Linked DNA regions of Caenorhabditis elegans. The protein of the gene in region 4 interacts with the protein of the main gene of each other region in a pairwise test. Each region holds a gene or a part of one and is shown on either strand. Other genes may lie near its edges.

What was found.
Region 1: the proteins of med-2 (region 4) and sem-4 interact in a two-hybrid assay, tested with the Caenorhabditis elegans proteins (one large-scale study listed by BioGRID).
Region 2: the proteins of med-2 (region 4) and lin-39 interact in a two-hybrid assay, tested with the Caenorhabditis elegans proteins (one large-scale study listed by BioGRID).
Region 3: the proteins of med-2 (region 4) and ham-2 interact in a two-hybrid assay, tested with the Caenorhabditis elegans proteins (one large-scale study listed by BioGRID).

Annotation. Positions count from the first base shown.
Region 1 is NC_003279.8:7,036,188-7,043,613, reverse strand, and holds the start of sem-4 (Spalt-like protein sem-4), read right to left. Parts: upstream 4,715-7,426; 5' UTR 4,707-4,714; coding exon 4,631-4,706; intron 2,974-4,630; exon of another isoform or gene 2,903-2,973; intron 1-2,902. UniProt on the Caenorhabditis elegans protein: Transcription factor, involved in positive and negative modulation of transcription. Binds to multiple DNA sequence motifs in the regulatory elements of target genes, including homeobox selector egl-5 and LIM homeobox mec-3.
Region 2 is NC_003281.10:7,532,245-7,539,710, forward strand, and holds the start of lin-39 (Homeobox protein lin-39), read right to left. Parts: upstream 4,389-7,466; 5' UTR 4,346-4,388; intron 2,457-4,345; coding exon 2,157-2,456; intron 591-2,156; coding exon 413-590; intron 58-412; exon of another isoform or gene 1-57. UniProt on the Caenorhabditis elegans protein: Transcription factor.
Region 3 is NC_003284.9:4,551,442-4,561,060, reverse strand, and holds ham-2 (Zinc finger protein ham-2), read right to left. Parts: upstream 6,377-9,619; 5' UTR 6,368-6,376; coding exon 6,208-6,367; intron 5,563-6,207; exon of another isoform or gene 5,419-5,562; intron 5,129-5,418; exon of another isoform or gene 4,687-5,128; intron 4,319-4,686; exon of another isoform or gene 4,180-4,318; intron 3,950-4,179; coding exon 3,776-3,949; intron 3,728-3,775; coding exon 3,456-3,727; intron 3,406-3,455; coding exon 3,223-3,405; intron 3,131-3,222; coding exon 2,987-3,130; intron 2,496-2,986; coding exon 2,250-2,495; 3' UTR 1,653-2,249; downstream 1-1,652. UniProt on the Caenorhabditis elegans protein: Probable transcription factor that acts downstream of egl-15, to promote migration of the HSN motor neurons from the tail to the gonad primordium during HSN cell differentiation.
Region 4 is NC_003281.10:6,881,158-6,886,612, forward strand, and holds med-2 (GATA-type domain-containing protein), read left to right. Parts: upstream 1-3,345; coding exon 3,346-3,870; downstream 3,871-5,455. Other genes in the region: K04C2.7 (Polyprenol reductase), read left to right, coding at 1,098-1,253, 1,580-1,681, 1,740-1,830, 2,055-2,167, 2,350-2,526; brd-1 (BRCA1-associated RING domain protein 1), read right to left, coding at 4,118-4,219, 4,299-4,441, 4,491-4,551, 4,601-4,760.

The DNA.
Region 1 (7,426 bases), on a different chromosome or scaffold from region 4:
CCAACTCTCTCTAAGCTCCGCCCACTCTCTCTTCATTTATCTTTAATTTAATGTGTACCAAATCGGTGTCAATGGCGCGGAAAAAACGCAAAAATTATGCACGTCTTCTCCGCCGTCGGCGATCCGATTCATCTCTCTTCACAAGAAACAGAAGGGGTCGTAAAAATCGCAACAAACCGACGCAAACACATACATACACAGTTTGACATCGGTTGCTCGTTAACTTTTTGTCACACAAAAAGTCATCGTCGTCGCGTCAGATCGAAGGAAGCTGTATGGATGAAATAGCGTGTGAATTGAAAGAGATTCTTAACCATTAATGTGTGCGGAGACCCCGTGGAGGGACGGAAGAGGAGGAGGCTTTATGGGTTCGGAACCTGTCTCACCCCTCTCATTGAAATCTTTTTTCGCAACATTTATAATTTCCGAAACGCTTTTTTGTTGTTGAAAATAGAAATCGATTTGATGATCCGGAAGGGTATATTACCGTATTCGAAACGGAGACTTAATGGAACAGATGAACGGAGAGAGAGGAGGAGGCATCCGATTGGATGATGGGTGGAGACTTATGAGAGGGGATATATTATGATTGATTGGTTTGGAAGAAAAATGAATATGTGGAGATATTGGGAAGAGCAACATGATAAGTTCATAAAGTTTTACCAACTAAAATAGAATGGAGTGTAAAAGATTTTTACAGGCTAAATCTAGGTATCATTGTGTTCAAGGGAGACGTTTCAAGAATGTTTTTGAAATGTATACTTGTAGTCGAAAGTTTGAGTCGCTCCGTGTTCACCTATCCTAATTTTTGAAACAAAGTTTGCCTTCGAACAAACTTTATATTTCAGGTTTCTTTTTATTAATCTTGCAAAATTTTGAAAATTCTGAATTATTTTAGTTTTTTTTCATTTCGAGTATATTTCTGCTCAGCTGTCTATTGCCATTTGGACATATGAGCAAACGGCTGAAATGTTGAGCCCTATTATTTCCAACTTCCGAATTTTCAGAATTGAACGTTGGTCAATTTCAGTTTTTTGCACCTCACAGTCCCCCTAACTTCTAGGCAAAAAATAAATCTTACTCCTCCTGTTCCACATTCTTCAGTTATCAATAAAACAGAGAGTATCGTCCCTAAATAGAAAGTCATCTATATACCAATTTAATAGTAAAATAAAACTTCTCCAAAAAGCAACAACCTTCCTTCCAAATGTCATAAAAAATTGTAAAAACGGTAAATGATCAAAAGAAGAAGAAGGCGTCGGAAACACATAAAACTTCATCCCCTTCTCCCAACAACGACGTCTTCGGGTCGCAACAAAACATTAAGAGTTTCAAATTGAACAAAAAAATTGAAAAATAATTGCGAGAATTAGCCAAAATTAGAGAAAAGGAATGAAAATGAGGGGGTGAAAAGGTTAAGTACGCTCTAATAAACATTACGAAAAAGGCAGCAAAAAACGAAGAAGGAGGTGGGTTTAACGGAAAAATTAAGACGATGTCAACGATTGATTATTGACAAAAAGGGCATGATTTGATTAACTTTTCCGCATATTACAACTAATTCGAGTCGATTGGGACACGATGTGTCTACAGAGGAAAGATGGAGGATACTGTAAATATGATAACGGCCGATTGAGAAAGGGGACTATGATTGTACAATTAGAGACATAATTTGAAGTTTTCAAACGAACAAATTAAAACATCGAAGCAAAACGACAACTTCAAGTATTTAGATCAAAAGATCCAAAGTAAATCCTGTTTCTTCAAAAAACACTGGAAGCAACAAATTTTGAACTTTCTAGATATCTTCAATTGTTTTAATATAATTTTGGGTAACCACACAAAATGTCGCTGTACATTAACTGTATAAAGTAAATTTCAATTTGAAAATTTTTAAAGTGAATGATTCATTTCTTTGAGAACTGGAAGACTGCTCAAAATTGGATATTTTTAGGCTTTAATTTTTTTAAATTAAAATTTCCAAAAATATTCCAAAATGTTTGCATACCCCTAGAGACCTTTACAATTATAATTTTTTCCGAATTCAATTTAAGAGCAAAATTACGGTCCTCCAAAGTAGTAGTAAATAGACTCGAAAAATCTGCTCTCAAAAAAATTTCAGCTGAAAGTTAAAACAAAAAATCTCGTCAAACTGCTCGGAAAATCAACGATATTTCTTAACCAACTTTAGCGTTTTTCTAGGTGCCATTTACGGAAGTGGCCGAAGTTGGCGAAATTTGGCTGAGAATTTGGTGACGAGTTGCCTTTTGCAGCTGAAATCTTTCAATTATCAGATAGTACTGGATTCAAAGGAACTACCCAAACTTTCGTTCGAGGCGAGAATTACATGACGCTATCTATTTTCAGTTTTGAACTGTTTGATTGTGCAAATATCGTAATTGAGCCCCTTAAAATAAAGTACTCTGGTAACTGCAACTCATGAGCAAAAACTCAAAAACTCTTCATTTTTATCATCTTATCTGTGTGCGAGTCAGTTGGTTTGATATCATCCATTCAATAATAGTCTCATTCATTCTCTTCTCACGCGCTCATAAAGAGTCCTCCAATGTTAATGAGTGTTATCCAAACGCTCCTCCTCCCCAAATATCTTTTTTTTCAACTCATCTACCTCTGCTACCATCAAAAATCCATAAAATATATGAGATGATGATACTCTGCTGGTCCTCAAATACACACTCTCACACACACATTGTGACACACACACATAATGTTTCAATTTTCGTCTCCATCGTCCAACCAATTCATATTGCTTGTTGAAGGAGGAAGCTCTGATATTGCACACTATTTCTCTCGTATTACACAAAAACACTATAATAAATGATCGAGTTTCGAGGGGAGAAGACCCACAGAAGAAGAATTCTGATTCGCAACAACAACGTCTTCATCCTGCCACTCTAAACTTCTTTTGTGTTCGATCATAAATTCGATTTTATGATGGCTCGACTCGACTCGTGTCGAAGGCGGCGGCTCGCGGACCTCGAACACAATAATGTTGCCACTTGAAGCACAAAAAAGAGAGAATCAATAAGGCTTTCAATAGAAAAAAATAATAATGGGCTCAGCCAATGGAAGAATCAGCAGAGAGATGAGATGACAATAAGTCTCAAGTCTCACACACAAGAGCACTTGTTCGTCACAAAAAATGATTTGTGAAGATGAAGCCGAGAGCTGATGGTGGTGGTTTAGAGACAACTGATACCGGAAATTATGATACAAATGATACACTTCTTTTCTCAAAGATGAATATAAAATTTTTTTGAGCATACGTGCCTGCAAGGCAACCTCGGCCTAATAGTAAGCCTATATATCTTTAAATAAAAAAAGGTTAATCTTAAATTTCAACATGTTTATAGAAAATATACGACTGTAAAATTTGTATGCACATACACAGGCAGAAAGTACCAAGAAATATTCTGCATACAAAGTCATGCTCTAAGAGACTGGGTCTTCACATTCATCGAATTGTCAACAGCTGTTGAAATGTTTGACAGTACTGAATGGAAAATTAAACTTTTATTGTCACAGGTGAAATATTTGTGAAACTCGTTTTGGTTAACATTATCTACTAAAAACTTTCAAAACAAATTTCAGTCTTGCTCTTTGAGCTGGACACCAAGTTCAAATTGTCAAATTGTCATCCCCTTTTCAACATGCTCTCATCCTTTCTCTCTCATGTCTGTCTGTCTCAGAACTTGCCAAATTGATTGGTTTTCTTTTTCTCCGAAACTCTTTCTCCCTTCCCCTTGCACTCCCATATTTGGACATTTTCTCTCTCTCTCTCTCGTTTCTCTGCTTTCTTGCTCTTTTTTCTCTCTCACTTTCTCCTCATAGTCGCTTATGATTGGATGGAAATGTGACGGAGGGGCGGAGCAATATGAAAAGATGAATGGAAATATAATAAGTGTCTCTGGTCTTCGGGAGGAGCTCTTTGGACTACGGTAGGTTTTGATTGGTTATGATTGAAAGAATCGAAGGAAAAGCATTGAAAAAACACTAAAAATGAGGTAAGAAGATACGAAAGAGATAGAGATAAGAGATATGTTATCATATTTGACAAGGTTCTGTGTTGGAAACATTTTAATGAAAAAGTGTTCCTTGAAGTGGAACAGATGTGACAGATTTCTCATTAAAACTTAAAAAAATGAATGAACGAGAAATATATGATAAATTATATTTAAATGAAAATGCCAAACTAGGATGGTTTTGGTAATATTAATTTTTTTTTAATACTGGTTTTCTAGCAAATGTCTCGTCCGAAACTATTCGAAGTAATATGAATAATATTGATAAGTTGATAAGAGGAATTGACATTAAAATTGTAAATTTACACCAATTTATTGTCTCCTTCCAATTTTCATTACTTATGTCCCAAAAACCCATAAAAACTAGTGATAACTGGTTTTTCTAGAAAGTCTAAAAACCTTCAAAAATGTAGAACTAAAATGATTTTGAAACATTCCAAAAGTGCGTTTTAAGTTTTAATATTCAACTTTGTTATTTTCGCAGAAAATTTCAAGATTTCAAGGTCGATCATCATCGCCTTGTTTCATTTTCTTGTCTTTTACTTCATTAAACACCCCGCATTTTCCTCTCATTTCCCTCAACTTACCACCAGACATTCGACGTGGTTTTGACTGTTTTCTGCGGGATGAAACCGCGGCCATCTCGGCGAGCAGCTCATTCATCTGGAGCTCTGAAAAGTTGAAATTACTAGAAGATGAGCATGATAGGCAAAGAATGAAAGAGTAATAGTGGACAAGAAGAGGGAAAAAAGCAGAGAAAAGGATACAAAACAACACACACAGAGAAAAGAGACAGAACAAAAACGATTTATATTAGAAAGATGAGAAGGCGACGGGACAAGGGGGCACATATTGCGAAAACAAGGCTATTATCAAAATTTATATTATTAGAGTAAAATGGTAAAAGTATTGAAGACACGAGATGGCAGTAAGGGAATGGGAATGGAATTCAATTGACGATAAAAAATTGAACTTTAAAATAGAGTCATTAATCATAAATGATATTGCTCGAATGAGCTAGTTATCGAGCGGCGAGCCTATAGTCTAAATTTGCCCATAATGCATTTTTGGAATGAACATTTTTGAATTATGCACCGGCTCGCCATTTGTCTTTGCAAAAGTTACGAAATACTTGGTTATATGACTGGGTTTAGGCCGCACCCAGATTCAGCCCAAAATTGATCTAACTCTTTTCAGCGTCTCAGCCAAGTTTAAAACGATACAATACAAGTTTCACAACAGCTAGATAAAACGTGAGTTTAATTTGGGTACATCATAAACCAGGACTTTCTCAAGTTTGCCCCGAGCTTTGTCAGTTTTTGAAAGAGTAATTTTTGGATCAACCATAGGCAATCAGTTCGCGCCAAATGACGAGTATAGCCGCAGAAGAATCTTGAATCGGATGATTTTTTTCGAGTGTAAATATGAAATTTTGTTGTTCATGGTTGGGTAAAGAAAGAATATCTCAAAAAATGATCAGGGGAAGGTAGTGAGTGATGATGTGAGTAAGTGAGGGTGTAGAAGATGAAAATCGTATAAAATGAGTGAGTGAGCGGTTCCCCTTTTCCATGAGGTGGATACGGTGTTGCAATTGAAATAGTTGGAAAAAAAGGATGGAAAAAAGATCGGATCGGTATGAATATAAAGTGCGAGATGCGGTTGAAGATTCCGTTAAATTTGGTGGGGTCTGAGTTCTGTTTGTGTGTGTTCTACAGGCTTTTCGGATTATGAGTCATCAGATCTTGTAGACTAGAATTATTTTAGGTTGAGTTGTAAAGTTTGATTTCTAAATTTAGATAGGAAATGAGGATCGGACGTTTTCAGATACAAGCCTTAGTGCAAAGCTAACCCAGAAATTTGTTATAGATACATATATCGCTATAAAGTGACAGTGTCCCTTTCTCGCAAATTGTGGCGTCACAATTAGTTTCTAGTACAAATCATTTTTAAAAATCATGCTCGACGCCAGACTACAGAAAAAATGGTTGCTCCGTCTTGCAGATGTTAAGCTTCTGTAAGTGAGCTCTGAAAGGTGTTAGCTGAGATATTAAAAATAACATGGCAGGTTGAAATTGTTTTATGTGAAAATGGAACTACATTATTGAAAGTTCTCAAGAAAGTCTCAACCTCAGAACTTGACTAAAAAAGCAGAAATTTCTAAAAATGGCAAATCAATGAATGAATAACTGAATTACTTGCATGATTTGTTGAATGATTGATAAAACACTAATTGAATTAATGAACACAGTCAACCCCAGAAAAAGTCTTTTTTTTTCTCTCTTCATCAGAAGACGTCGTCGATGATTCGAGACGAATTTGATGATAATTGTCACCCCCGTGGTGGTGGTGGTGAGGGGAGACATATTCGATTCGATTCGCGCCAGGTACTCATTCTTGTACCTGACGCTCCGGGCGCCTGTGTGAGGGACGAGATATGATCTGGTAAAATATGAGTTGTTGCAAAAGAGAGAGAGAAGGCGACCGCCACGGGAGACCGACACGTCTTCTCCCTCATACATGACTCCGCCCATTTTGTTCTTTTTCTTTTTCACTCCGTTTCAGAACTGATAGAGATGCAAGTAGTTTGGGCCCCCGGCAGTTCCGAGACCCAAAAGCCCCGCCCACTTTTAAATTGCCCATTTGAGATAGTGAGAACGAGAAGTGAGAGGGTGCAGAGAGGCAGAGATAAATGAATTACTACTGTGTGGGGCTCTCGATGATGATGAGGAGAAGCCTCCCCGGGCCTCAACCATGGGGCGGCTGTTTGTGTTGCAATTTTATGATTTAGCTAGATTGTGATGGAAGAGGAGCAATGAAAAAGAAAATGTTAGAATAGAGAGAATACAAGTAATCTACTCAAATTGGGAAGTTGATGATAAAACTAGGTTTCCGTGAAGTTAGACAAATAGAAAGGAATCTTTGGGGCCAAACAAATTTACCTTCTGCAAACATCGTACTTCTTTAAGTCATATTAATATTTCACCCCCAACAATTTGTATAAAACCAAAGAATCGTGATATGAGCAAGAAAAACAAATACGGTCTATTAAAAATTAGCAACAAACTTATTTTTTAGAACTTCCTAGAAGTTTCACGGTAAGTTGCGATTGCTGGGCAGGCAAGTAGGTAGGCATTTTTGTGTTAAATTTCATCAGATTCCAATTTCGAAATGTTTTTATTTTGAAAAAATTACTTCAATTAAAAAGAGATGAAATACTTTTAATTTTTTTAACATCTTTGAATTCTAGAACTTGTATGAGATTAATTTTTGATTATGCCTTCCAGAATCAGATGCACAAAATCTAGATATTCCAGTTATAAATGGAGTACTTTTAAATTTATGAGTTATCTAGGGTTACTGTAGAAAGGTGTCTAGGTTACTGT
Region 2 (7,466 bases), 650 kb from region 4:
TGCTTTCACGTCAACTATCGAGAGAGAGGGCGCCGCGCGTCGCCTTCTTCCTTATGCTTCATGTCAAAATGATGTGGAGAGAGGGAAAAGAAGGGGAGTACTGTAGCTTCCTTCCACTATTCAGTAGTAAATTGATTTATAATTACCCAAACAAATTGCCATTAAAGGTCTATGGATATTTGATTCGATTTGATAACTAGTATGCCCAGAAATAAATGGATATTCAGTGGGTTTTGTGAACTGGCGATATTCAGTGGAGATCAAACTGAGATCGTGGTAACGTTTTCAAACCAATTATCAATAATTTTATTGTTGTTTTTTCAATGAGGAATTTGTGGGAAAAAACATTTGAATTAAGAAGTGATTTATTATTCTGTACATTAGTACCAATTTTCTTCAAAAAATGACTAACCTGTAGTTGAATGAACACGTGTCATCCATGGATACACTGCACCGCCTGAATTCTTATCCATATCATCGTCATCACCACTGATGCCTTTCTTGTCATCATCCTTATCATCATCATCGTCTCCTTCCAGGTGCTTCCAGTCGTGATGGGTACTTGTTACTGATGGATTATAGCATAGTGACTGAAAAAATGTTTATAATTACTTGAAGTTTACGCTGAAAGAAGGAGAGCTTTTCAACTCTAGTAGGATGGCTAAGATAACTGTTCAGAACTTCGTTCATCGATCATGGACGGTTGGTTCCAAGCTATTGGGTTTTATCTGTTACTAGACTGAATGCAAACTTGAATCAAAGTAGTTTATTGGCTGTTTTTGTAACTTTCAAAATTTATTTCAGGCATTGAAAAATCGATCGATTGGATTTAACATAAACATAAAGCACCCTAGATCAACAAGCTTCAATAAAATCAATATTTGAAATGTTGCGAAGATTTTGGAAGAGATTCTCTAACCGATACATCTTAGCATCCAAGAAGAGACAAACAGCGGGAACAATTAATCTTGAAACTCTTCCTCTCACTCTTTCACTCTCTTCAGTCTTCTTCTTTCATTTTCCCTCACTGCGTTTGGTTTTCCTACGGACCAGTCGTTCTAGTTGTATATTTTCTTGAGTAAGTTTTTATTTCATAAGGAATAATCGTTTAAAAATAATTCATCTTGTGAGACCATTGTTTTGCCAAAAAATGATACTCTGCTCTAAAACTTCAAAAACTTTTTAGCAAATGTGTGTCTTAATCGAATTTAAAGCTAAAAATAACTACCTGTTGAGCATTAAATTTGTTATATTTATCAAAACTATCCACATTTCAAATAACCTTTTTTTATATTTAAAAATAGTTAGTACCAGTGCTTGGAGGTTTTTGCAGCTTCCAATTGTGAATCTAAAAAAGTACAAAAATCGATGGAACGATCATTAATCTCAATCTGAATACTCTTCTTCCTCTTATTCTCCATTTTGTAACTCGTTCTCATAAATTTTATTTCAATTCCTACTCTTCCAATGGTAGTCACCAGGCGCCAGTCCACTCACTTCAAAAGAGAAAATAAAATTGATCGCGTTGTCAGATTATTTTCAGAAACGCTGAGGAATTGATTGATTTTCAATTTTTGGCGGGAAATGACAGAAGTTTCAAACCAGTGGGAGGCGCCAAAAGGGTGTTAGAACTTTTGAATTAAAAAAAAACAGATGAAATAAAAAAAAACTTTCAAGAAATTTAAATTCCACATGGACCCGAAATGTTTCAAGAACTAATTGTCTCTGAGCACCTGTTTATTTTTCAAAATGGTTTGTTTTCAGAAATTAAATTCGATTAGCAAAAGTTAACCAAATCGGTCTCAGCGCTTTGCAGAAACTAGAATTATTTGAAGGTTGTCAAAAGTGCGGCAAATAAAAAATTGTGACTTTCTATAAATCTGTGAGCATTCCTTTATTTTAATTATCCCGAATCACACACTATTTTAGTTATTAAAATTTTACACAAATTTAATTTTTGCCAATAGAGGAGCTTCCTAACTATAACGCTCCAACTCTTGCTTAAAGTATGGTGACGTTCAGAGAACTTAAAAAGATTACGAAATTCGAAATTGCTGAACTTTTCTAAAATATCATTTCATCTACTTAAATTTGTAGTGTTTTTTTTTTAAATATAATACTGTTTTAAAAATTACCTTTAAAGTTTCGTAACTAACCTGATCTCCGAGTATTGGATATTGAGGACCTCCCAGTCCTTGACTTGAGGCAAAATATGAAGCAATTTGAGAAGAACTAGTCGGATCATAATAACTTCCAAAATGAGCAGAAAGTGCAGCAGACGCTGTCATTGGATCATATCCAATTGTACTCGATAATTCAGAAGATGATGGAATTCCAGATGCACCCACAGAAGATGTGGATGATGATGAAGAAGATGAGGATGAAGACGAAGAGCTTGATTCAGGAGCTGTAGCTCTCGGTGCATCTGTGGATGACGGTGATGTTGATGTGGTCATCTGGAGTGAAAACGAGTGAAAGTGATTGATAAGAATTGATTGAAAAGAGATGAAAAGATGAGGGGAGGGAGGGGAAACGAGGTGATATAATAAATGAGGACGAGAGGCGCGTCGGGGCGGTTGAACATTTGTTAAAAATGTGACGTCTCCCTCTTTCTCCTCTTTTCTTCCATTGCAAAAGAGACAGAATACCGGGCGCCATCCTTCCCCGATCCCGCCCATTTCTCCTATTGGACGAAGGGTGGAGTCTCAGAAAGCGGAAGGGATGAGGGAATAGAATAAGAGGACGATAGAGATGAATGCAGTAGTTAAAAAAAGAGATCAAATTTTTTTCATTGAAGTAGATCATTCAGATATTCCTAAAGTCTACATATCTTCAAAAACCGAATAACTAGTAGAATAGGTATTTAAATTTGAACAATTGTAGTGAGAGCAAGAAAACTAACAATTTGTGCTGCTAGTCTAGAATTCAGAGATACGTGTACAATCGCAATCAATGACCGGATCAATATCTCCCAAGAGCCCAAATTTTCAACACAAAAGTTAAATACGATGATTCAGTTCTTAAAATTTTGAAGAACTTTCAGCAACCATCAATTTCTTTTACAGGTGATCAGAGCTTTAAAATTTATTAAAATTCCTGGGCACATATAATTGAAACCAATAAATTTCAGAACACGAATTAGCAATAATTACCGTTTGATAGATTTTAAATTTTAATTTAAGAACCTTGTTTTTTTTAATTACTGCATTCATCAAAAGGAATTAGATCAACCTATCAACTACTTGTACCTAATCCTTAGGAAATCATTAAAACTAGGAAAACAACAAAAGCTTAAGAACGGAAACAGAACAAAAAGAGAAGAAAAGTAAAGAGTTGGAAATGGAGAGAGAAAAGATGATGGTGATAAATTGAGGAGCAATCTGCGAGAGACGAATTGTTTTTGTGGGTGTGCTCAAGTGGGTGGTCATGGTTTAAGACCCGCGGGTTTTACCTTATAAGATTGGATAATTGCTCTAAATAGCTTTATATAAACTAGTAAGCAATCTATGAGGTCAAGAAGAAGTATGGACTAGAAGTCTTTATGTGTTTTCTCTGTAGGCCTAAGCTCTGAAATGTTACCTAACACTATTCCACACATTCTCCATGTCTTGAATATTTATGTGACTACTGATTACAAAATGAAATTTCAGAAATATTGAGGCTGTGGGCAATCCTCGAAATTTGACGAACTCAGCAATTTCGGTAGATTTGTCGCACACACCTGACAATGAAGCTTTTAAGTTGGATAATTTAAAGTTGTGATAATAGCTTTTTTAAAGTAAGATTACATTTTGTTTTCTTCTATGATTCACAAATTAAACGAGGGTGAGATTCAATTTATTTAAATGATCGGCAGAATAACGGGAACACGGTAAAAAGGCGCCTTCGCAACGCCTCATAAAGTGCAACATCTAATCTGGGCTCATTTCTTCCAGATATGTTTTCAATTTTTCAATGGTATATTCTCCAATAATGCAACATAAAATGTTTTTTCGGAACGCAGGTAATTTGAATAAATTCCTACAACAAAAAAAAAACAGCAGAAGCCAAAGCCGAGTATCTAAAAATGTTTCAAATACTGAAATTTAGTCGATAACTTTGCGAAAATATAAGAGGGTTCCGAAATAAACTAGATTTTAAACGTTTTCTGCCACAAAGGTGGAAAATTGATATTTGAAGTACATAACTTGCAAAATTTAAAGACTACGTTTTAAATAGTAGAGAATTTTCCTATAACTTTTTCAGGTGACCTCTAGGTTCAACTTATTTAAAGTTAAGTTCCAGTTTCATTTAGAACTTTGAGAAGCTTTGTGCCAGGAGTGGATTTAAAAAAAGAGAGATTTACCTTAATTCTAGAAGGTCGTAAAAAAATGTTGCCAAAATTCTATTGTTGGTATTGCCATCGGAATTTCCTCTATCGCCCTCCCACTTCATGTCTTCTAATCCGGGCGGCACGCACAAGAAGACGCAGACGTACTGATACACGTGAAGGGTGGAGCATGCTTCTTCTCCAATCTCCCCCACTGTCGGCATAGATCAAAGAGGTTCGTGGAGCCGAGAGCACATCTCTTGCTCTCGCCTTTTCAATTCATCACTGACAGCGCTGGATGGACATGGGGTGAGAACGACAGGTACCGTAAGCTTTTGGGCTCCAAGAGTAGAAGAGTTGAGCAGAATGAATTTTCGCTTTTAAGTTGCCGCTTTTAGGAACAAAATCTTGACCAACTTTTTCCCATTGGACAAGTTGTCAAGAGTCAGTCGAAATGTGCTCAATTTTATGAACTCTCTGATTTTATAGATATGGAATTGTTACATGAAAATTGGAAAAATGGCAAAAAGGGAGAGTATCTCGGCTTTGGGCTAAAACTTGAGCAGAAATTGAGCAAGGTTTCGACAACATAGTCTAAGACAAGTATTGTCAAAGCTCTTACCAACTTTTGCCAACATCTGATAGTCCGCTTTTTGAGCCAAATGCCTGGTATGCACAAAAAGTTCAAATGACCAAAAGACGAATTTCTGTGAAATTTTAAAACGGCGTTATGGGAATTTTGAAAAACGTTGAAGTTTTTCTAGGTCATTGATCAGATTTTCTAAAAATTTAAGCTTCTAGCTATTTCTAGCTAAATTAAATGTTATCAATACTTGGTCGACACCAAACACTATTTTTTGGAATTGTCAAGATACCTAAATATAAAAGTCTACAACTGAAGCATACGCTTAATATGTTTTCAAGATTTTGCAAGGCATCTGAAATTGCTTCGAGATTTCCAGCAGTGCCTCACCTTGTTCTTAAAAGTAAAAGTTCCCGAAACTTGAGGTTTCAGAAATGCCAACTGCAACTGAATTGATTCCAACGCCTCTTACAAAATGAAAGAATAAAGTTCTAGAAGTTCCCTACTGTAAACATGCAAACAGAGATATTTAAACTATTTATAAAACTTAAAATGTGTTACTTTTGTTAACTTTGAAAGTCTTTTTTAATTTTTTGATTAAAATAAAATTTTCAAATTAACAGTACATAGAGAATTACAAATTCTCAGAGCCACAACACATGATAATGTACTATAAAAGGAAATAACCCAAACACATCACATTTTTTATTTCATTATCAGTTTTCTCAATCTATAAATGATCCAATATCCTCACACCTCTCACAGTATAGATAAGGAGATAAGAATTGCATAACACTGTGGTAATAAATAAAAAAAAAAAGTGAGTAAATGATTAGTAAGTGATTATGCAATTGACTCAAGTCTATTTCCTGTCTCTTTTACAGTGATTTATGAGTGTCAGGAAGCATCAAGAAGTGTGGAATGAATGGCATCCAATTACTCATTTGTAGGTACACGAATCAAGAAAAAATAGGTTGAAGAAGTGTAGGGATCTTCTCTCTTTTACAAATTGATGTTCGACAATTCCTCATTTTGATTTTTTTTGGTCTTCCAATCTAGTGCAAACAGAAACGAGATAGAATGAGTTACAGTAGGAAGTTCATTAATCAAATGACGAGAAAAAGAGGGAAAAGTAATGAATACATTGAAGCATAAGACAAAAAAGAAATGAAAGGAAAGGAAATTGAACCACCGGGGGATGCCTGGTGAAAAATGAGAAAAGAGGTAGCGAGTTTGGAAAATTGGAGTTATGAACTATATCTGAAAAAGTCAAACGAAAAGGGTTCAAAAGATCTAGAATATAAGCATCTGGAAACTTTAGCGTAACTTAACCCTAAATATAGTAAAACATTTAATTCTCTGATTGAAAAAAGTCTTAAACTAGATTCTAGACTGTCTGCCATATCAAGAATGTTAGATTATACGTCTACTTCAGAATGAGTGGAAACTTTTTACTCAAAGCTCGAAAATTCTCAAAAACTCGAAACATTAAAATAAGCTTGTCAGAAAATAGACCCGCACTTAAAAGAACACAGGTAAGGTTTGGCTAAACCTTTGACAAGAGTTGAATGAAAACACTTTCTGCCCAACCTTAACGCGACCAAGGTTATTCTAAGCTTTATCAATTTCTGTACCAAGTTTATATTTTGGGCCAATTTTGGAGTAGTTCCAATAGCGCTAAATGTTGGGAAATTTTAAGCTGCGAAACTCAACCTACCCTTCAAATCTTAGATTTCAACAATTATTATGATGGAAAAAAACTTCAGATATAGATCCTAAATTCGGTAAATTGCGTTTCTTCAAACTAGCCTATCTTGAAAAGTACGCGTCTAGAAAACAAATTATCTATAAACAAAATAATCACAAATATTTTTAATTTATTTTGTATTAGTTTTCAGTGCAAAATACCAATCATTTGTTGAGTTGCACAGGGGTAAACACATTTTACCAAAAGCCGCCGAAGTTTTTGAAAACTCTTTTGTTGTACCGGTCATATCCCAACATCCATTGAATTACAGAAGAAAAATTTTATTGGATTGCAATTGAAAAATATTTAGCCACATTTTATCAGTTTTAAGATTTTTGATATTTTCATTTTCAGCCTAGTTACAGACCGTTATTCGAAAAAATTTAAAAAAAAAACAACAAAAGAGTTTTCAAAAACTTCGGCGGCTTTTGGTAAAATGTGTTTACCCATGTGCAACTCAACAAATAATGGATATTTTGCTCTGAAAACTAATGCAAATTAAAGTAGAAATATATTTTTGATCATTTTGTTTGTAGAACATTTGTGTTCTAGACTTGTATTCTTCTTGATAGGCTAGTTTGAAAATACGCAAATTAGCACGGTAAGGAAGTTATTTGGTCCGTTGAGCGTGATTTACACCAGGGGTGTAAACGCTTGAAGCTTGAAACGCTTGAAATGCCTAACACATATCCGATTTGCCGTTCTTTCTTGAAACCTCAGAGTTTGAAAAAATATTAATTGTTTTGAAAAAGTACGCCAGCAGTAGAGAAACGTTAAAAATTTTAAAGCTTGTATATAAATTGTCTTGAGGTTTATACAGTTTGATA
Region 3 (9,619 bases), on a different chromosome or scaffold from region 4:
ACTAATTAGGATAAATTAAATGTTAAAAATTGAAATTTTCTTAAAGTATGAATATCAGTTCATAAGTTTTTTTGCAGAAAAAAAACCAAAACGATGCCATGCAGCATTTGAGCGGGAATTTAAAAGTAATAATAACAAAGTACGTTTTACGAAATTCTCAACAGCTCCCAGTCATAACGGTACATTTTATATTGTTTGAAGCAGGGATGTGCAGCAATTTTGCCATACTTGCCGAGCACGGCAAGTTTCAGAAAAGTGGATGTGCCAAAATTGCCGAGGTCACCAAATTTACAAATTTGCCGCACACATCAAAAATTGGGCGAACCAATTTTGACTTAAACTATTGATTTTGTTTTAAAAACTCTAGTAAAATAGCATAGCATTGAGTTACTTTCTCATGCTGGCAGACCAAACGGACCTCACCAAAAAATCAAATCCGTGCTATCAAATCCGTGACTTCAGTAATTTGGGTGCTCCAAAAAATGGCAAAAAATCATTATATTTTTCTGAATTTGCTCCGCAAATCAAATTTGCTGAAATTGCCGAGTTTGCTGATATTGGAAAAAAAGATTTGTCAAATTTGCAGAGCTCGACAAATTTTAAAATTCGCATCATACGCCCGATTTGAAACAAAATCTCAAAAGACACTACTCCGTTTTCAATAGCTTAAGATCAGTTTCACATAATTTTGAAAAGTGGTTGCCTCGTTTAGTAAAACGAAAAAAAAATCTTCAACTATAAATGAGTAAAACCATGTGAACTTTTAAACAGCTTCAGAAAAATGCACAATATTTCGGTAGACTTTCAAAATAATAAGTGAAAAAAAACTGCTAGACGTAGTTTTGAATCCTTATATTGTTATGATACAAACAATCAAAAAAGGTTGAAATATAAAAATGGTAGGAAAAACGTTTCTAGCTGACTTCCAAAATTAGGGGTACCACTTTTTGGATGCACATTAAAAATTTCTACAATTTTTAAAAAGTATTGCAATATCTGAATTTTTACATCCTTAAAATGGAGTACCAGATATAGGAAATTTCAATATATCGCAACATTCTAACCTGTGTGAATTGACTTGCAGCAGCTGGTGATACAAAAATACTAAATGTTCAAAACATAAAATGGACAAGGGAGAGTCACAAAAAATTATCTAAATATTAATTCATTTTCGAGAAATATTTTAAGCATCTATTCTGCAATAACATAGATTTGACTATTTTTGGAGTTTTATATGGTTTTAGAATACTTTAAATACACTCCTGAGAAATTTTGAATAACAATTGAAGCCAAACACAAGTTCGTAAGTATTTCATCTAGCAATTTTTCGTTTTGATGTAAGAAAACGAAAGCTGCAAAAAGGGAATCAACTAGTACGAAATTTCTTGAAGCTGAAGTTTTAGACAATCGACTGAGTACATCAGGAAGAAATCAGAAATGAATCATGCTCAACCTTTCACTATGCTGATTGTGACGTCTAGTGGGTCGAAAAGGTAAAAATGAATTTTCACATCGCTTCACCTGAAAGCACATTACCCTCTGAAACGGGTTCAGTTTTGCATTCAAACAAAATGATGTTTTATGCGAGGATAACATCATCTTGTGAGAGTTTCGTTTTTGCTAGTTTTTTGTATGGCTTATTACTTCCTGCATTTTGAACTTTGAAAATTATTTATCACAAATATAATGAAATGAAATCATTGAGGGAAGGAAAAAGTCAAGGCGGGAAAAAAGGGTAATGCTATAAAAGTCAAGAAAAGGACCAGAAGAAATAAAAAAGGAAACATTTAGAACAATGAAGTAATGTAAAGGACGTTCTAGGTAAATCGCTGAGTGCATTTAAGGCTACGTTTTATTGAAGCTATTGCAACAAAAAAGTAAAGTAGATTCGGATTGTTTGGAAAATGTCCACCAGTTTCTAAGATTGCGGTAAATACAATTGTCAGGAATGAGAGCACTCTGATTTTTTTTGGAAGTTTGAAATATTTGGATGCAAAGATAAGAAGTAGCTACGAGAATAGGCATTATGTACAAAGATATAAACGACAATTAGTTTAAAAGCCAACCAAAACCGCTTTAAAAGCTGTTGGTTCTTTGATTCAGAGTATTTCGGAAATTGCTCAAAGGATTGTTGTATTTCAATGGCTCAAAATGCTGATTAGAAACAAGGAATGAAAATGACTACGTGGTTCAACTAGATTTGATGACACCATCAAAATCGGAAATAAAGAAATTGAAATCGTTTGGATCTAGGGAACCACTGAGGGACGGTTCATGTGAATCAAATTGTTCAACAACATTCTCATCGCAGGATTTTGAAATAGATTGTTCGGCCCTGGAGATGGCATAGGCATCATCGGAGGAGGCAGCATCACGGGTGGCATCGGATTCGGTTGAATTTTGCGGAGGAAATCCACTTGAACTTGCAACTCTCTAATGGTCTTTTCATAGGCACGACATTTGTCCTCAACTGCAACAAGCTTCCCTCTGGCTACCTGAAACATCATAAACTTATGTAAATTATTAAAAATATCAGTGGGTGGGGGATAACTCAGTCGGTAGTGGTGGCCGCTGAAGAACTACAGGTCACGAGTTTTTACAGTGCGCGCGCTTCTTGTAGGACACCCCTAAATTTGTGAAGCATTGGAATACATACAATTCTTCAGGAAAATTTTTTGTGATATTTGGAATCGAGTGTGTCAAAAAACCTCGAATCCGTTTTCATAAATTTATCATCACAATTGAAAGCACCCGTTTTGCTATAGGACCCTGAGATTTTAACCAGCTGAAACCTAGCGTGAACTTGAAAGTGGAGCAGTCCATGACTGGATTATCAAACTTAACCTAAAGACTAATCATATCACCAGAAGTACTGTACCTAATTCCCAGATTCTCTTCACATAGCGCTCGCAAAATGGATGGTTTTTTATTTTTTTTTTTCATATTTTAAATTATAATTCAAAACCATTTAAGACAACTTCCTAACCTGACAATCAAAGCATTTCAAACTTTCGCCCGAATGACTAGACGATCCACCACTGATGTGAGAATCCGAAACCGTTGGAGAAGGCTGATCATGGGAAATGTGGATGTTTTTGTCATCAATCGTCATTTTCAATGGTGGTTCGCCCTGAAAATTTTGAAAGTTTCATAATATGACATATTAAAGTTTAATGGGGTGAAAAACAAATTTTCCTCAAAATTTCAATAAGTTTTCCTTACATCATCGCCTTCCACATCAATATCAGCATCGTGTTCCAGTTCTCTTTTGAAAGTTGGTTCAGTCTTGACAATGACTGACCGAGGGCTGACATCACTGCTTTCCACTTCAAATTTGATGTCTTCTTCAGTTGTCTGCACTTCTAAGTCGTCATAATCGCTAATATTAGAAGACTGGATGGAATCCTTAAAATGTAATACATTTGAATTCAAAACATCAAAGAGTTGTAACGTACTTTGGACGGTGTTTGTTGCGCTGCCAGATTAAGGGCCGCCGTGTTGATGGGATTGTTGGCAAGCCACGCTGAGAGGAACTGTGAAGGACCCATGTTAGAAAGATCCAGGGGGAACATCGATTTGGAGTCGGGGCTTTTGAGCAGTGTCGGGAAAATGGATCCAATGTTGTTATTGTTTGCAGCAACTTGTAACATACGCTTTTGCATCAACAAATCAGGCGAGAAGGGTGGAGACTGACGCGGGGAGCCCGACTCGGATGTGCTATCTACAACTGCAAATTTGTATTAATGGATTTCAAAATTTGTGGGTAGATCTTTACCATCTGAACTCTTAGCTAAAACAGCCGCTTCCCCCGGTGTCCCATTTTTCAGCATACTCTGCATATGGATGTGAAGACTTGTTTTGTCGGGAAAAGCCCAATTGCAACACCGACACATAAACATTCGGGTAATGTTGTGTACTCGATACATGTGACTGCGTAGTGTATCGTTGCCTGCAAAATTGTTTCTTAAGGTTTCCTAATGACTGAACAGTGAGAGCAGTGCCGGCTCATTTCGCACTCATTTTATTATGGTAATTATCAAATACTATTTGAACCCTTCTCCAGCTTTTGAATTCATGTCTCAATGATCTAAATATTTGTCGAAAGTAACATGTAAATGGCTATTTGCCAACCCCAACTGCATTGCTATTTCCATATTCCACTTAATTGCCATTCTTTGTGCCACCGAGCCTAACTGTCTATCAATCAAATGAAATTCGCAACATTGGGACACTATACGCGCGCCCGTAAAGGCATGTTAGGTGCCAATGTGACGAATGTTCTACGACGACCCCCCTCATTTGCATGTTTGTCTGAATTTGAAAATACGCACTATAGAAAATCTATAGAATAGCGGATCTTGCCTACCGACAAAGCAGTAACACAAAAAAAAACGACAAACGCAGGGGTCAGGCTGTAAAACATTTTCATGTTATGTTTCGGTATTCTACTGGTTGATCCGCTTATTGTTGGATTGCGCACGAGTAATATAACAAATCCTGTTGATCTGCCTGCTAACATGCCGCCGTATGGATTCCACGTATAGGCGAGCGGTGAAGTAAGGTGTGAAAAAAGCTGGGTGCTTTGGCCGAAAGTTTCTTGAACGACCCCCATGCTCAGCGAACCGTAACAAATGATTGACGGCGAGTGAACAACCAATAAATTGTAATGTTGGAAAGGTGGTAGAAAAAGAAGAGGTTGCAATTTTTGTTGCGGAAGATGGGGAAAGAAGACAATCGGTGGTTTTTTTTTTACTTTGCCCGCGCGCTGGCCCTATTCTTCGCTCTCAAGCTCACTTAGCGACAGTGGCGTGCCAACAATTAGCTGATGGATGGTCATCAAATGACTGACCTTGGAGGTTCATCCTACCTTCCATTCCAAGAAAAGAAACCATTAAGTAATACATACATACCGTCGGTTATTTATGCCTCTCGCTCTCTTAGGAAGCCGCTCGGGATGGAAAGATGGGGCAATTAGACAATGCAAATAGCAGACGTGTTATTGTAAAACTGTGGCGTAATATGGTCAGAGGTGTCTTTTCAAAAGATTCTTGCACAAATATTAGAGTCAATTTGTTATTATTTAATACATGATACTGCTTTCCATTATAGCTGGAGACGCTCCAGTGGGAAATTGAAAAAAAATAACGCCGAATTTGCCAAACGACGCTACAAAAATTTTTTGAAATTTTTAATTTTGTTTTTAAAATTGGTAATTACTTTTTTGAAAGTCGTCGATAAACAGTCGCCTACATATTTTTCAAATATAAATATTCAAACATTGTAGAGATCCGAACATGCGGCATTGCTATAGTTTTCTCGAAAAGTGGCAAGAACACAGTTATTGCCACTTTTTGACTGTCAATAATGTTGGTCATTTTGGCTCTATATAAGTGGATGTTAACCATTTCCCCACTGGCACTACTCCACCTTTAAACTTTTTGCTACTAGTCCAAAAGTGCACATGGTTGTTTTAAAAGCTTAACAGATATTACTAAATAGATACTCCTAATTGACAGTCGGAGCTATCTCGGTATTTGCACACCTCCTCATTCAGTTTGCCATGCCATATAGATGTCTACAATTAAGAATACAGTAGTAGTTGGAAAGGGTGTCAATATTTAGATAACCAATGTAATTTTTTGGCGGAAAGAAGGAGACTGTATCAACCTTGTTTGACACATGCCCAATATAGCCACGTGCTAATCGGAGGGTGTGAGTTGAGTTTAAGCTTGTCAGTAAACAATGCCACTGAGCTTTCGCGCATTTCAGATTATGGAGACTTCCGATCAAATAAATGTATTGGGAGGGAGATTAGAAAAATGTAGAAATGCAATAAACTGGTAGAAGACAGAAACTAAATGCAGCAGGAAATAGAACATTCGTTCAGAATTTTAATTCAATTTTGAAAAAATAAATTAGAAAGTTAAACATCACCTAGAACCCATAATTTTTTATTTTTAGATTTTTAGATCAATTTTAAATTTTCAATAGAATAAGTTCCGTACAATTCAACAATAGCTATGTTCTCGAGTTAAGTTTCCCTCTCTTTTTTCTTATTATCATATGATAAAACATGATACAAAACTGTGAAAACATCAATAGCGGCATAAATTGTTTCGCTCTTTCTCCCCTATTGTTAGTCAAGCTCCTGCTACTCTGATTCATCTATTTCTCTTTTTTTTCTCAAACTTGCATTTTCAAACTTACTTGGAATTTCGTTGTTGCAAGTGGTACAGGTGTAGCTTTTAAAGTGAGCCTGCATCCGGTGACGACTCAGAGACGAACTGTGGCAGAATACTTTTTGGCAAATCGAGCAGGGAAATGAGCCTTTCAAATCGGGACGTTTTAGCTCTGCACGATAGGGCATTGTCTAAAAATGTTTTTGTTATTTGATGAAGCTTTTAGAAAATGGTGCTGAAATTTTCACAAAATCGAATTTGAAAGGAAACACTAACAAGGAAGAAGAAAAAAACGGTGGACAGTTTGAATGAAAGAGCGCTCATAGATGAACAAGTAGGATGGGCTACCAAGACCTCCACTACTTGAAAAGTTTTGCGTACAACACTCGAAAAGGTATTCAGACGCAGCTCTTCTCTCCGGAGACAAGAAGGTCGTCGCCGGCTGACACCAACCAGGTATTTACACCCTCACTTGATACTGTTTAAAAGTAGCGAAAAAGCATACATAGCAGCGATTGGACAATGCATTACAGTAGCTCAAGTATGGCGGGGAAGGTAAGAGTGCTCGAGAGGAGGAAGTGAGAAAATAACAGAACATTCAAAATCGAAATTTGTCACACGGCTTCTGCAATCTTAAAATGAATACTACAGTAATCCGGTGACCTGTGCTCTTGGACTAACAAAATGGCAAGCAGTAGTGCAAGAACGAGCTGAAGGCTATGACTCCCCCCGCCTACCCGATTTTTGGAGGCGGGGCATACCATGCAGAATAGAGATAGTGAGCGACGGGACGCACGGGGTGAGGGGAATGGCATCAAGCACAGTCGGGATAGTAAGTGGCAACAATTTTGGCTAGCAATTGCGAGTTGATTAGCTTTCTCAATTTTGAAAAAAAAAAGTTGGAAGCGAGTCTTAGATAGAAGCACGATGCTCTTAGGAACAGATGTGGGCAAGCTGTTCAAGCTTTTTTTTAGTATAGAACACAAGCGAATAACAGTTGGGAAACTTCTACCAAACACGGCTGACCCAAAAAAAAATAGAATGACGCGAGGGATACACCAAAAAAGCCCTCAAACCATAGACAGCATGATTGCTTGAGTTGAGGATTGCGCGCATCTTCGATTCTCGTGTTCTTTTTTCTTATTGGACGACCACAACAAAACCAGTTTTGTAAAATTGATTCGGGTTGCGCAATGCTAGAATAAACTATCCAACATCGCTATTATATTCGAATTTTTGTCTCTCTCTCGCTCCCGCTCCCCCTCTCTTCTGACTGCCATTCGACCCCATAATCACACAATGCTTTGAGGCCGGTTTTCTCGATCCGCATCAACAAGTTCAACTATCTCTATTCAATGTGCTATTTTAATTGGGCACACACTACCAAAATTTTGAAAATGTTGAGTATGACTGTTGAGTTTCTATCTATCTGTATTATTTTTTTGGGCCTACACACGCCGCAGCAACTACAGTAATTGTAGAGCGGTGACGGATAAGAGTGTGAATCTTACCCCGTTGAGATTCTCGGCACGAACAGGGATTGGCCTTGGCCGTGTGTCCAGGCGCTCGTATAATAAGGATTCACCTCCTCCCGCGTACAGGTCGCGTTCCTTTTCTTGACGGCTACATAATCAGTAGCTATCATAGCACATCTTGCCTTTTCCCGCCAAATGTCTATCTGGTATATATCTCCGAGAGAAAAGAAACAAGAGGCGAGTAAGGTAATGGAGATATAGCGAATGGATAAGAAAACTGTTCCATATACTACATCAAAAGACAGACAGGTGAACGCAAAGTGACAAGAGGTCTAGGTGGGCAAGTAGGAGGAACATATGAGAAAAAAGGGAAATGGAAATGAACATTTTTTAGAAGTTTTCAATTTTAGCAGGACTAACAGGTATTGGAAAGAATGTTTGAAGAACCTAGGAACATACTTTTATGGTCCACATATTTGCATCAATTAGACATTCAAATAGAGAATGCTCCTATTCATATATGTATTAGCATATTACAATTGTTGCGATTTTTAGTTTTTGGACTTAGTGAAATGGTTCAAAACCACGCCTTTTGTGCTAAAACGTCTAAGTATCATAATGAAACTTTTGCAATATTTAATAATATTTAGAGTCGAAAAGCGGAGAAAACTGAGTTTGCATGTTTGAACCTCTAAAATGTTGAAGTATGCATATTTTGAACACAATTTTAAACAAAAAAAGCTTATTAAAATTTTTTTTGTGAGTGAGTTCAGACTCAGAATAAAAATGTTTCCAAATTTTTTTTTAAAGCTTGATTATTTTTGCGCCATTGTTTTTAATAATTTTCCACTGGCCGTAGTTCAACTTTTATCAAAACCTCTGAAAGACTTCTTATACCATAGTAAATTGAAAAGTTACGTAATGACGAGAAGGAACGACGAGCCAGCAGCTACTTGAATGATTTTTTTTTAGGTCAAACGGCAAGCTAATCGTTCTAATCGTTTTTGCGGACAGGGCAGGCGCGACGAAATGCAAGGCGGTTACGTAAGAACTGCGAGATAGAAAAAGGGAAGAGTCTTACAGGGGCGGCCCCAATCGAGATTGAAACCCCAAGCAAGATGGGGGCACCTTTGGACATTTTGTAGCAAAGTGAAAAAATAATTGTCGTATTCGAACAGTTCGCGCATAGTCTGGTGGCTGTAGGGGTTGGAGAACAACGAATGTTAAAATTTGAACACACCTGGCGATGTGGGTTGAATTTTTTGAATACTTTTGAATACGGTTTTGAATATGAAGTGAAAATTGGAGAGTGTGGGTACAGCTGGTGGGGAAATGATTAAAAATTTTTATAAGGTGTTAAAATGACCACATATCATAATAAAATTTTCAAAAGTTTATTTGAAAGTATTTTACTTCTAGTCAGAAGATGACAATATCTGAGTTTTTGCCATTTTTCGAATAAGCTAAAGCACTGTCGCATGTTCGAACCTTTGCAATGTTGGAATATGAATATTATAAACATAATTAGAAAATAAAACTGTAAGAATTTTTTTTTTGATTTATTACTTCTAAAAAATTATTGTTCCACAGGTTGTTCGTCACTATTAATTCAACAGAAACAATTTTGATATTTATAAAATTACAATGAATTGATTGAGCTACGATGTCATTAACGAATGAGTAAGAAAAATTAATTTTTCGTTTTCTATAAATTACCACAAATCAACCTAATGAAAATGCAGATATTCTATACTGTAAGACAAAAAAATCGGACTTATTTTTTTCTGTGAATTTATTGCGGCGACTGAAATGCGGAAAAACTGACACACAACAATTTTGTGAGAATGAATAACCAGATAACCAAAATGAATCATCAAATAATGGGAATTTTTAAACGTCATAAAACTACTATTGTTTCAAAAATGTAGGGAGCAAAGGACAACAACAGATTTGATTTTTCCGAAT
Region 4 (5,455 bases):
TTATATTTATTCATCAGGCAACAATCATAATGATGCAACTACAACAAAGCAGTGAAGTGAAGGAAAAAAGAATGAATAAATAGATATAAAATAATCATTAGGCACTTCATTAACTGCTCCGGTACCTTATGACTATGCTTTTATCAAAAATTATTTGGTGAAAAAGTATTTTAGTTCCTTGATGGTTCTGTAGCTGATAGTGAGTAATTTCCAGAATTTTCAAAATAAATATGGTCTGCCAGAGTGAAGTAATTTCTCTTTTTATCATACGATTCCGTTATACCGATTGTACCTTCTATCATATTTTTGTATAGACTACAATTTTATGTTAGTCATACACTTACTACCTTCGCCTGCCTACCGCCTATTTTCTGAGTTTTGGCGTCAGCTTCATGTAGTTTAGGCACGAGAAACGCGGGCAGGTAATCTGATGCCTACAATAATACTATGCACGAACTCTACTTAACACGGATATTTTGCTGTGTAAGCAGTTATCGGATTGAAACATAGCGGCAAGTTCAATAGACTCTTTTTTTCACCTGTAAATATTTTCCCAAATTTTTCCCTTGGAATACTGATTAGAAATTATTTTAAGATGTTTAAAAAGCCTTCAACACATATTCATAATATTTTGTTTCCGTTCGATACATCTTACCAATGCTCTGATGACATCAATGCTAACATTCAGATTTGTTCAAAAAGCTTGTTGCAAATCCCCTTTTTTCTTCTTTTCAACACAAATCCTATTCTGATAGCTGTAATCCTGTCATGTCCCTTTGATGATAAATCATGCGAAAAATGATGAAAAAAGTGTTAATCCGAATGTCAAATCTCCCCCACTATCACCAGCTTACCGGAAATTTTTTGAATTTCCGTTGAGAAGAGAAAAAGTAAGGAAATGTTGAAAATAAGCTGCAATTGGTACACTTCGCCAACGCATTGCAGCTAGTTATGCGTGTAATTTTAATATCATGTGATTCTATTTTTTATGTTTCTCATTTTTTGTTACATTGTCACTGTGTGACACCATTTGCTCTGAAATTTCTTTTCTTCTTTTTGTTGTAAAATTCTCTATCATTTTCAGTGATATATCAGAAATGTTACGATGGTTTCACGTAGAAGACGAGAAGACTTTCCTGTTTGGAATACAATTTCGAAATCGAAAACTGGTCACATTCTTTGCTCTGGTTCAATTAGTAGTGGCTTCTGTATCATTTGCTCAACACATTTACTCAGTTGCTCTTTTTAATAAGGTTGGTTGGAACAGTAGATGGAAGATGAATGACTTCACACGTTACCTATAAATCTTTTGGGGATTTTTTAAATCAGATTTTAAAAAAGAAAGAAAAACAAAAAACACTTTAAAATAAGTTTCCGAAGAATCTAAAATCATTCTATGACTCTAAACAAGCTTAGCAAACTAAAGAGCTTCTGTACCTACCCCATACATTCCAGCCCTGATCTCCTGCTTTTTTGTTTTACCGGGTAGACATATTAATTTCAAAATACATTTGTACATTTGTTTCCTAGAACGAAAATCTTGAAAAACATTCCGACTTGATCGTTTACATTAATTCAGATATTCTATTGCTCATTCAACGAAACTCGTTCCAATACCGGTCATTTTCTATCTCATGACGTGATTATTTTCGACTTTGGTCTTTTCCACGAATTAATTAATGTAAGCTGAACATTTCGTTCATTTTTTGTTGGATGGTTCTCCAAACAAGTATTTTCAGGTCCAAGAATGTATAGCAAACTATTTAGACGGTGGCTATATGCGGTGTCTATGGTGTTTCACTCAAATGATTGCATTGACCTTAACAATATGTAAGTGCTCCAAGGGGAAGAGTAACATAGAGTGTCAATGAACTTGCCTACTTTCTTACCTACTGGGCGACCTAGGCTTGCCTCGTGCCTACTTCCAAAGTTCCCGATATAGATTCTTTCAATTAGTCGTTGCCCGGCACTGCTAAGAAACGGTCCTATTCCTATGCCATAGTTTATCGATCACAGCCTTTCCAAAATTTTTAACTGAACCTTCACGTTTACAGGGACAACACTATGTATACCAAAACCACATCCTTTACTGTTATGGCCGATGTTAATAATTCAAAATGCGTATTGTTTTGGATTAGTAATTTTAACAATAGCAACGGCAGATAAGGTAAGGTTTCCAGTTTATGTCTTCTAGCAGGGCATTAAAACTGGAAGAAAGTCGTCGTTTTTTTCATGATCAAAATTGTTTAAAAGTCTCGTTAGACTCTTTGATCTATTAGATAAATATCAGAACTACCTTTAGGTGGAAAGTTCAAATTCTGGAGTCTGAGCAATCTTAAAATATTTCAGCTCCTGGTTGCCCTGTTCCATCCTGTTAATGCTCACCTGAACCTGATGATTTTATATTTTGCCGTTGGAACATCAATCAATCATTTCTTTGACTACATCCTCTGGCACTACTATTGGTATGAAGAATTTCAATATATTGGTAGAACAGGAAAACATGTGATTCCCTTTTGGGTGTAGATTTTATTTCAACTTTTTGTTTTGTTTCAAACTCAATTGTCAACGAAAAGCCCCCTTCATTTTCATAATCTCTGGGACAAAAAATATTTGTATAAAAACGGTTACTGTGTTCCACCTCTGCTTCATCTGAACTATGTTCTCTGCATCGAATAAAAATTTGTTTAGTTGTTATATCATATTTTTATACTTGTATAAAACTTTTGTTAGTGTGAGAAAATAAACATGCCAAAGTACGTAAAACTGTTAGAATTCACTAATATTCCCAAATTCGAAGAGCATTTTAGATGATTATAAAAATCTCATTATGACAACGAACAAATTTAGTCTTGCTGTAGGTATGAAGCAGGCGTAGGCCCTCTTGAAAACATTTACGCAATTTAATTTTAAAAAAACCTTAGCACTTCATTCATATACAAAATTGTTTTGGAAAATTTATTTATCCATTCAATTCTCAATTTCCAAGTAATCACGCAACACTTGAGGCACGTTGATATGATTCCTTTTCTCCGAGTAAAAGCCATGCTGTGTTCCGCCCGAAAACAAATACATAAAAGGTTTATATTGTAGACGTTGGCTGAAACATGTCCTGATTTCACCTGCTTTCCTAGAGAAATGTTAACATCTCCACCTATTGCACAATGAGCCCATCTTCACCTACATTATCTGATAATAGGTAAAGAAGGACCACCTTGCACCTCTGTCATCATGATGATTTTTAGAGCATTATCATCATTTCTAGTGGGTGTGGTCTACAGTAAAAGAGCCCAAAGAATATCAGTTTGAGTCAGTATTCATACTTTATTCCTTCTCTCTATCACTATGGCTTATCCGTACCCAGTTTTCAATGCTGAAAATGTCTTTGACAATACCCAGCAACAAGTTGGATTCTATGATTATTCAACTCCATTCAATGGTACATACTCCTTCACTACTGACTATTCTTATTATAATAACTACTATGACTATGTCAATACTTATGCTTCTTATTATCCAACTGCAATGGATTCTTCATCTTTAAATATTTCACCAACTACTGGAAGTCCTAATTCTTCCCATTTCACCACGTTTACTCATTTTTCTACTCCATCTACATCTCCATCTACCTCTACTCAAAGTTCAACTCCACCGAGCAATTCTGATAATAAGAAGTCATTTCAATGCTCAAATTGTTCAGTAACTGAAACAATTCGTTGGAGGAATATTCGATCAAAGGAAGGAATTCAATGTAATGCTTGTTTTATTTATCAACGGAAATATAATGAGACTCGTCCAGTCACTGCCGTTAACAAATATCAAAAAAGAAAATTAAAGGTACAGGAAACGAATGGTGTAGATTCTTCTTAATGTAAATTGTATCATTGTAAATTGTATAACTCAATTGTAATTTTCTTGTTTTAAGCCGGTAAATTGTTTTTAATTAATATGATCTCATAACTTATATTTATATCTTGTTCTCGATTTTAATTACATCATAACTTTAATTGCATGGATTGGATGCCGTTGTGTATAAAATAACACTTCAAAAAATAATCATTCATATTGCAATTTTACAATAGAAACGCAAAAGAAAATATTTTAAAACGGAAAATGGTTAATGTGGTGGTGTTGTGATGGAGCATCCAAGAATCGCCTCTATTAACCACTGCTCGCTGACAAGATTGTACTTTGTGCAGTCGCGGAATTTGTCTCCTATCTGTAAAGAGAAATAAAAATGTCACCAAACTGAAACTACCGAATCCATAATAACAGGAAAACTCCTTCGTTAAACTTACATCATGTGTCAAGCTGTAGAGCACAAAGTTTGGTTTCAAGTTGGCATTATGGTACGGCGGTGGATCTTTTTCGTCAATAATGGGCTCCCTCGCTGCAGCTTGACCACCGGCAGATCGAATAATTTCAAAAAGAGCTGGGCGATCTGAAATTGAAAATTGAAAAAATTAAAATACTGTAAATTAGAATCGTACCGAGGAAGTTATACTTTGGCTTTGGAATGAAAAATTTGCAACCGGCGAACAATTTTGGTTGCTGAAAAATTTGGTTGTATTTTTTTCTTTAGTGGAAATCAAATCCGTACCATTTTAGTGATTGTCTTCTTCCATTGTTCAATAGTATTTTCAAATACTTCACCTTCCATCCATCTAACTTTCTGAACCATATAAGAACGATCATCATCGACTTTCGATGGATCAATAATGCACGCTCTCAGCCAATCTCGACTAACTATCATTCCCGATCTGAAAGTATGAATTTCCGCTTTGAAATTTCATATTTTCACATAGATTTTTTTGGCTCTCATACTGCACCCTTGCGATTGTTTGCAATTTTCCCATGGGATCAGTCTATAACTAGACAGGGAAACGCATTTTATAATACAATCGAGCCACTGTGAAACTGAAATGAAGGTGTTTCTGGTGAGTTATATACTACTTTTGCTAATATTCAAAACTAATTTTGCAGTGTTTCCTTCTTCTTCTTCTTTCAATTTATGTTAATGCAAAGAAAGCAGAATGTCGAACTGATTCGGATTGCTCGGATAATAGGCTTTGTGTTTATGGACAATGTCTTTTTTCAAATCATGCAAGTGGTGGAGTTGTTATCACTGACGAAAATGCTGATGAACCTTGTACTTTTGACTGTCCAGTTGGAAAAAAATGTGTGGCAGGAGCCTGTGTTCGTGCCTAATTATCTTTTTATCTCCAATAAATATGTAATGCATTGCGACCTGATTTGAAGGAATGATAGAAAATAGACCATAATTACCGAATATAACTGTTAAAAAATTATTTCAGCTTTGGAAAAATAATAAGTTCTGATTAGTTTTGAACTCTCGTGCAAATGAATGGCTAAATTCGAACGCTTTTCGTGATTTTTGCTTGATGTTCCGAAGATTGTCAGATTTTCATAAATTTTTTAAGCAAAAAAAAAGATG